Macaca fascicularis: one gene and its partner. The protein of the gene in region 1 purifies or fractionates together with the protein of each later gene. This does not show direct contact. Links are inferred from orthologs where the notes say so. Each region holds a gene or a part of one and is shown in the gene's direction. Other genes may lie near its edges.

Evidence for each region. Proteins that work in one complex are often made in the same cells at the same time.
Region 2: the proteins of PAN2 (region 1) and PAN3 purify together in Homo sapiens (co-immunoprecipitation; 5 studies listed by BioGRID and IntAct, with this or other methods). This does not show direct contact. The link is inferred for Macaca fascicularis from reciprocal best matches to the Homo sapiens genes PAN2 and PAN3.

What each region holds. Positions count from the first base shown.
Region 1 is NC_088385.1:63,121,301-63,124,800, reverse strand, and holds part of PAN2 (PAN2-PAN3 deadenylation complex catalytic subunit PAN2), read left to right. Parts: intron 1-2,094; coding exon 2,095-2,252; intron 2,253-2,351; coding exon 2,352-2,495; intron 2,496-2,628; coding exon 2,629-2,838; intron 2,839-2,933; coding exon 2,934-3,027; intron 3,028-3,500. UniProt on the Homo sapiens protein: Catalytic subunit of the poly(A)-nuclease (PAN) deadenylation complex, one of two cytoplasmic mRNA deadenylases involved in general and miRNA-mediated mRNA turnover.
Region 2 is NC_088391.1:8,180,425-8,183,924, forward strand, and holds part of PAN3 (PAN2-PAN3 deadenylation complex subunit PAN3), read left to right. Parts: intron 1-1,405; coding exon 1,406-1,653; intron 1,654-3,500. UniProt on the Homo sapiens protein: Regulatory subunit of the poly(A)-nuclease (PAN) deadenylation complex, one of two cytoplasmic mRNA deadenylases involved in general and miRNA-mediated mRNA turnover.

The sequences.
Region 1 (3,500 bases):
ACCCTGTCTCTACAAAAATTACAAAAAGTAGCTGGGTGTGGTGATGTGCTCCTGTTGTCTCAGCTACTTGGGAGGCTGAGGCAGGAGAATCACTTCAGCCTGGGAGTCGGAGGTTTCAGTGAGTCGAGATTGCGTCATTGCACTCTAGCCTGGGTGACAAGAGTGAAACCCTGTCTCAAAAAAAAAAAAAAAAAATTTAGCTGAGTGTGGTAGCATATATTTGTGGTCCCAGCTAAAGCTGGAGAGGCTGAGGTGGGAAGATCACCTGAGCCCAGGAGGCCAAGGCTACAGTGAGTAAGCCATGATTGTACCAGAGTGTACTCTAGCCTAGGCAACAGGATGAGACCGCTTTTTTTTTTTGGACAGAGTATCACTCTTGTTGCCCAGGCTGTAGTGCAATGGCACAATTTTGGCTCACTGTGACCTCCACCTCCCGGGTTCAAGCAGTTCTCCTGCCTCAGCCTCCTGAGTAGCTGGGACTACAGGTGCCTGCCACCATGCCCGGCTAATTTTTTGTATTTTTAGTAGAGACGGGGTTTCACCATGTTGGCCAGGTTGGTTTTGAACTCCTGACCTCGTGATCTGCCCGCCTTGGCCTCCCAAAATGCTGGGATTACAGCCGTGAGCCACGGTGCCCAGCCTGAGACCCTGTCTTTAAAAAAACAAAACAAAACAAAAAAAAAAAACGCTGTAAATCTTGAGAGTGGAGTGGAAATGAGATGAGGGGGGACATTTGGTCCGAATGGCTTAGGTTATGATGTTATATCTAATTATTTTTTGTGGGACAGAGTTTTGCTCTTGTTGCCCAGGCTGGAGTGCAATGCGTGATCTTGGCTCACTGCGACCTCTGCCTCCCGGGTTCAGGTGATTCTCCTGCCTCAGCCTCCCAAGCAGTTGGGATTACAGACAGGTGCCACTACGCCTAGCTAATTTTTTTGTTTTTTGTCTAATTAGTAGAGACGGGTTTCACCATGTTGGCCAGGCTGGTCTCAAACTCCTGACCTGGTGATCTGCCTGCCTTGGCCTCCCAAAGTACTGGGATTACAGGCGTAAGCCACTGCGCCTGTCTCATGTCTAATTATTCTTTTTTATTTATTTATTTTTTTTTTTTTGAGACGGAGTCTCGCTCTGTCGCCCAGGCTGGAGTGCAGTGGCCGGATCTCAGCTCACTGCAACCTCCGCCTCCTGGGTTTACGCCATTCTCCTGCCTCAGCCTCCCGAGTAGCTGGGACTACAGGTGCCCGCCACCTCACCCGGCTAGTTTTCTGTATTTTTTTTTTTTTTTTTTTAGTAGAGACGGGGTTTCACCGTGTTAGCCAGGATGGTCTCGATCTCCCGACCTCGTGATCCGCCCGTCTCGGCCTCCCAAAGTGCTGGGATTACAGGCTTGAGCCACCGTGCCCGGCCGTCTAATTATTCTTACCCCAAATGAAGATCTCTTTTGGAGGTGAGCTCCTTTTTTTTTTTTTTTTTTTTTTTTAGATGAAGTCTTGCTCTTGTTCCCCCAGGCTGGAGTGCGATGGCGCGATCTCAGCTCACTGCAACCTCTGCCTCCGGGGTTCAAGTGATTCTTCTGCCTCAGCCTCCTGAGTAGCTGGGATTACAGGCGCGTACCACCACACCTGGCTAATTTTTGTATTTTTAGTAGAGACAGGGTTTCACCATGTTGGCCAGGCTGGTCTTACACTCCTGACCTCAGGTGATCTGCCCGCCTTGGCCTCCCAAAGTGCTGGGATTATAGGCATGAGTCACCACGCCCAGCTGTGAGCTCCTTATTAAGTACCTATTTGGTATCTTTAAACCATAGTTTCTCTGTAACCTTTTTCTGGATTCTCTAAACTAAGGTCCAAGTGAAAATCTTATTCTTTATTCTCTGTGGTCTTTTCTGGTTTTTTTCTCAGCATGTTTGTTGATAATTTTGTGATGTGACCTGCTCTGTCTACCTGTCCCATTTATCACACATGATCTTTTTTCTCACGTGCTTTGATTATTGAGGGGTCAAGTGAAGACCCAGAGTCTATCAGCCACATTGGGCTTCTCTCCCCTAGTCACTTCGCTATCCAAGCCCTGTGTCCTCTTCATTCTCCCTTCTAGTCAAGAACCCTATTGAGGCAAGTGTCTTGCTGGCTGAAGCCTCGCTGGCACGGAAGCAGCGGAAAACACATACTACCTTTATTCCACTGATGCTGAATGAGATGCCACAGATTGGGGACCTGGTGGGTCTGGATGCTGAGTTTGTCACCCTTAATGAGGTAACCAAGACCAAAGGGATGGGGCATTGGAAGAGAACTCTGAGGATATTAGGAGTTGTAAGCATTTCTCTGATTTCCTTATTAACTCTTCTCATGTAGGAGGAAGCAGAGTTACGCAGTGATGGTACCAAGTCTACCATTAAACCAAGTCAGATGTCAGTAGCCAGGATTACCTGTGTCCGGGGCCAGGGACCTAATGAGGGTATCCCCTTCATTGATGACTACATCTCTACCCAGGAGCAGGTATTAAGATACAGAGATGCAAGTGAGGCACACCCTGGTACTTATGTACAGTGCTCAAGAACCCAGGGAAGAGTGATAGGGGAAAACTCCACCTCACTTCCTGAAAAAGACTTGTCCTTTTCTCTATTCCTAGGTGGTGGATTACTTGACTCAATACTCGGGTATAAAGCCTGGTGACCTCGATGCCAAAATTTCCTCCAAGCACCTAACAACTCTCAAGTCTACCTACTTAAAGCTTCGTTTTCTCATTGACATTGGAGTCAAGTTTGTGGGTCATGGCCTGCAGAAGGACTTCCGGGTCATCAACCTGATGGTTTGGCAGGGCTCTTTTAAGAGTCTTCTTGTGAGAGTGGGCCCCTCAGGGTATACACTGTGCCTTCAGAGAATGGGAAATTATAGTCCCCTACCTTAAGTCTCCCCCTCTTTTATCTTTGCCAGGTGCCCAAGGACCAAGTCCTTGATACTGTCTACCTGTTCCACATGCCCCGAAAACGAATGATTTCCCTGCGATTCCTTGCTTGGTACTTTCTGGGTGAGTTGCTCTGCCTTGTAGGCCCCTGTGGTGTACATTAATAGCAGAAGCAGCCATTTAAAAAAAAAGCAATCGTGTCCTTTGCAGCAACATGGATGGAGCTGTGGGCCATCATACTAAGTGAACTAACTCAGAAACAGAAAATCAGATACCACATATTCTCACTTATAAGTTGGAACTAAACAATGAGTACATATGGACATAAGGATGGAAATAATAGACACTGGGGACTCTAAAAGTGGGGTTGGTGGGGGATGGGTGAGGGTTGAAAATTACGTATTGGCTGCATAGTTCACTATTTGCATATTAGGGATACCAGAAGCCCAGTCCTCACCAGTACATGATATACCCATGTAGCAAATATGCACATGTACCCCAAATCTAAAATAAAATTTAAACATAAAAAATAAAAGCATGGGGGGAAAAGACAAAGTAGGAAAAGTGTTAAGAGGACAAAGTGGGAGTAGGGGTGA
Region 2 (3,500 bases), on another chromosome or scaffold:
AGTGTTGGCTTTGCTGTTGACTTTGCATGTATGTCCTGTGGTGTTTATAGCCCGACTTACCTCACCTGCCTATTTAGTTGCTCAGAAAACCAGAAATAATTATGTTGAGGCTCTTCAGAAAGTACAGAGGGCTATTCAGAGAAAAGAAAAGTATTACTTCAGTTCTCTGCTTATTTTTGTTCACCTACATGTTTTCAGAAAACATGTTGGTATCTTATGAATTATTAGACATTGAAACTCATATCCCTGGTAATCATAATTTTGTGACTAGAGGCATTTTTTGGTAACCCTTTTCTTGTATTGTGAGGTGGCATATTACCTCAGTGTTGAAGGTTTTTAGGCATTCACCAAATAGCCAGAAAACAGTTCCTGGATAAGCTCTTTTTTTTTCAGGAAGAGTAACTGTTGCTCTAAATACCCTTTTTAATCTGCTCAGAACTGATCACTCCATTAAGCCTTTGATTAACTCTACCTGGTTTTAATTAATTTGCATTTCATCAGCATTTATGCATGTAGTTGTAGTGCATTAGTGTATATATATTTTTTTAAGTTATTTTATGTCTTTTACATGTGACCTGGTCTTTTTTTCTCAGCTAGCTTGGAATCTCCTGAAGGGTAAAGACAATTGTCCTTTCCCTTTCTCCAATGATAGAGGGTGCTCTGCACATAATGTTTCTTATTGGTTGTGGTGGTTCCTCTAGAACATAATGGTATCAATTGGCCTAATTTTAAATAGTACGCATCTGTAGAAATTTTCAGGATATGCCTGTTTAGAGTTAATGACAAAAAGGCATCAGAACAACAGACTGCTTGATATTAAACATATGGCACTTAAGCTGCTATGTATTTCAACTTTTTTTTTTTTTTTTTGCTTTTTCAAACAATTTTGTTAATTATATTTGGCTGAATGAAATCTAGTAGCTCTTCATAGATAATTTGAATTTTTAATACTGTAATATGTTTGGGGAATGTGCTATTTGTATTGTTAATGATTCTTAATAAAAAAGGAATTATGCCTTTTATAAAAGTTTTTCTTTTATAAAAGGCTTAATTTTATAAAGAGCCCCAATTCGGTTACTTCCCACCCTTCCATTAATTTATTAAATTTTTGGTCATTCTTGCTATTAAAGTTTGTGATGTAAACCTTGATATGGAGGAGACTGTTCTTTCAATAAATCTGCTAACATATTTGGGAATAACTACATTTGAAAAAAGAAACTTTACATTTGCTTTAGTCAGAGCTTTTTCTACAACAAAACAAGATAAAATTATTTCCTTCATCTTTGTGCACTTAAGATCCCAAAGATGATGTTTCTTCCAAATGAATGTTTGCATTTTATTTTCCAGACTTTTTCTCTAAAACCATTTATTGCTCCATTAAGAAACATTTTTACATCTTCTTCAGGAATGTCGTTGTCTGCTGGGTCTTCCCCTCTTCATTCCCCCAAGATTACTCCACATACTTCTCCTGCTCCCAGAAGAAGAAGTCACACTCCAAATCCAGCAAGTTACATGGTGCCTTCTAGTGCCTCTACATCTGTTAATAATCCTGTTTCTCAGACTCCATCTTCTGGTCAGGTGATCCAAAAGGAAACTGTTGGTGGAACGACTTACTTCTATACAGACACAACTCCAGCACCTTTGACTGGAATGGTATGTTTGCATTAAAGAGGACATTTTAGTACTCTCTTGTAACAGGTCCTTTTAGTAATGAGGTGGTCCACCCCCTCCTGCAGCTTTTTATTGTGATGCAAAAAAGTATTTCATTTTCTCACTTAGATGAGAAGTCTAGTCTCTTCTCAACTCTTCAAATTTATCTAGTTCTGCCTTACTAATAACTCTAGTTTTAGACTAATCTGGTTTAATCAGAAATTAGATTATATCCATGCTCTTACTTTAGTACTCTATGGCATGTTTTGCTTATGGGTTTACCTTGTACTAGCTGGAGTTGATGCCTGCTGACATTTGTTTTTAGGTATAGATAGTTTAACCTCTAGTAAGAAGCTAGAAAAAGTAGATGGTATGTCCTCAGTAGTTACTGGAAGCAAATCAATGATAAACCCTTATTTCAGATGAGGTGGTTATTTAACAGCTAGATCTGTGGATGGTGGAGTGACACATAGTGATAAGGGGCCTGCAGTATGGCCCTTTGCTAAGGAGGTAGAAGAGTCAGACCAAAGAGAGCCATGATTATAGATGAGGAAAGAGTTACCAAAGGACTGGTGATGAAGTGAGAGAAGAATCATGAAACAGTTGGGAAGAGGTGGCCCCAGAGGAGACATGAATATGAAGACCAAGAGAGGAAGAACATGGCCAGAAAGAAAGATTTCTTATCAGAGTCAATTAGTAATGTTCCAGGACAGGGAGAAGGGACAGGAGTCAAGGGGGCGAGAATGAATGGAGAAGGAGAGGGAAGGATTCCATGTTATGTAAATTGTACCTTTTTTAGCTTCATTACTTCGTCCGTATTCAAAAATTATTTTATTTACCCTAGAAAAATAAGTAGTAGATGAAGGCCTCATGAGTGAGAAAGCCAGAGTCCACTAAAACAGGGGTCCCTAATCCTTGAACCATAGACCAGTGTTAGGAACCAGGCCTCACAGCAGGAGGTGAGCAGTGGGCAAGTAAGTGAAGTTTCATCTGTATTTACACCCACTCCCCATTGCTCTCATTACCATCTGAGCTCCTCCTTGTGTCAGATCAGTGGCGGCATTAGATTCCATAGGAACATGAACCCTGTTGTAAACTGTGCATGCCAAGGATCTAGGTTGTGTGCTCCTTATGAGAATCTAGTCCTTGATGATCTGTCACTGTTTCCCATCACGCCCAGATGGGACTGCCTAGTTGCAGGAAAACAAGCTCCCATTGATTCTATATTACGGTAAGTTGTATAATTATTTCATTATATGTTACAATGTGATAATAATAGAAATAAAGTGCACAATCAATGTAATGCATTTGAATCATGCCAAAAATATCCCTTCACCCCCACCCCCTTGTCCATGGAAAAATTGTCTTCCGCGAAATCAGTCCCTGGTGCCAAAAAGGTTGGGGATTGCTACATTAAAATAACGGAAGCTGATCTAATCTATAGACATTTGACAGTCATAGATGATAGGCTTATATGAAACATTATTTGGATTTCAATATGCCGTTTTGATCCTCAAAGTTAACTTATTTTGATTGAATTTAATATTTTACTAAGAGAATTTGAGTGAAAAGAAAGCATACTTCTTTTTTTTGTTTGCGCCACATTGTTTTTAGACTCGTGAATCTATGTACTTATGAAACTGTTTCTCCAATTGTAAAATAAGGATATTAATACCTAACTATTCTATGAGAAATAGATGTGAAAACATTTATAGAAATAGTTGTAAGTCATGTAAACTGCTTTTTAAAAATAATAAAATAGCTAACAGTTTTGTGGGCTTTTTAAAAATCAGAAATCTTTCAAACATTATCACAGAACCACTTTCCAAACAGAAGATCAAAAAAATAGG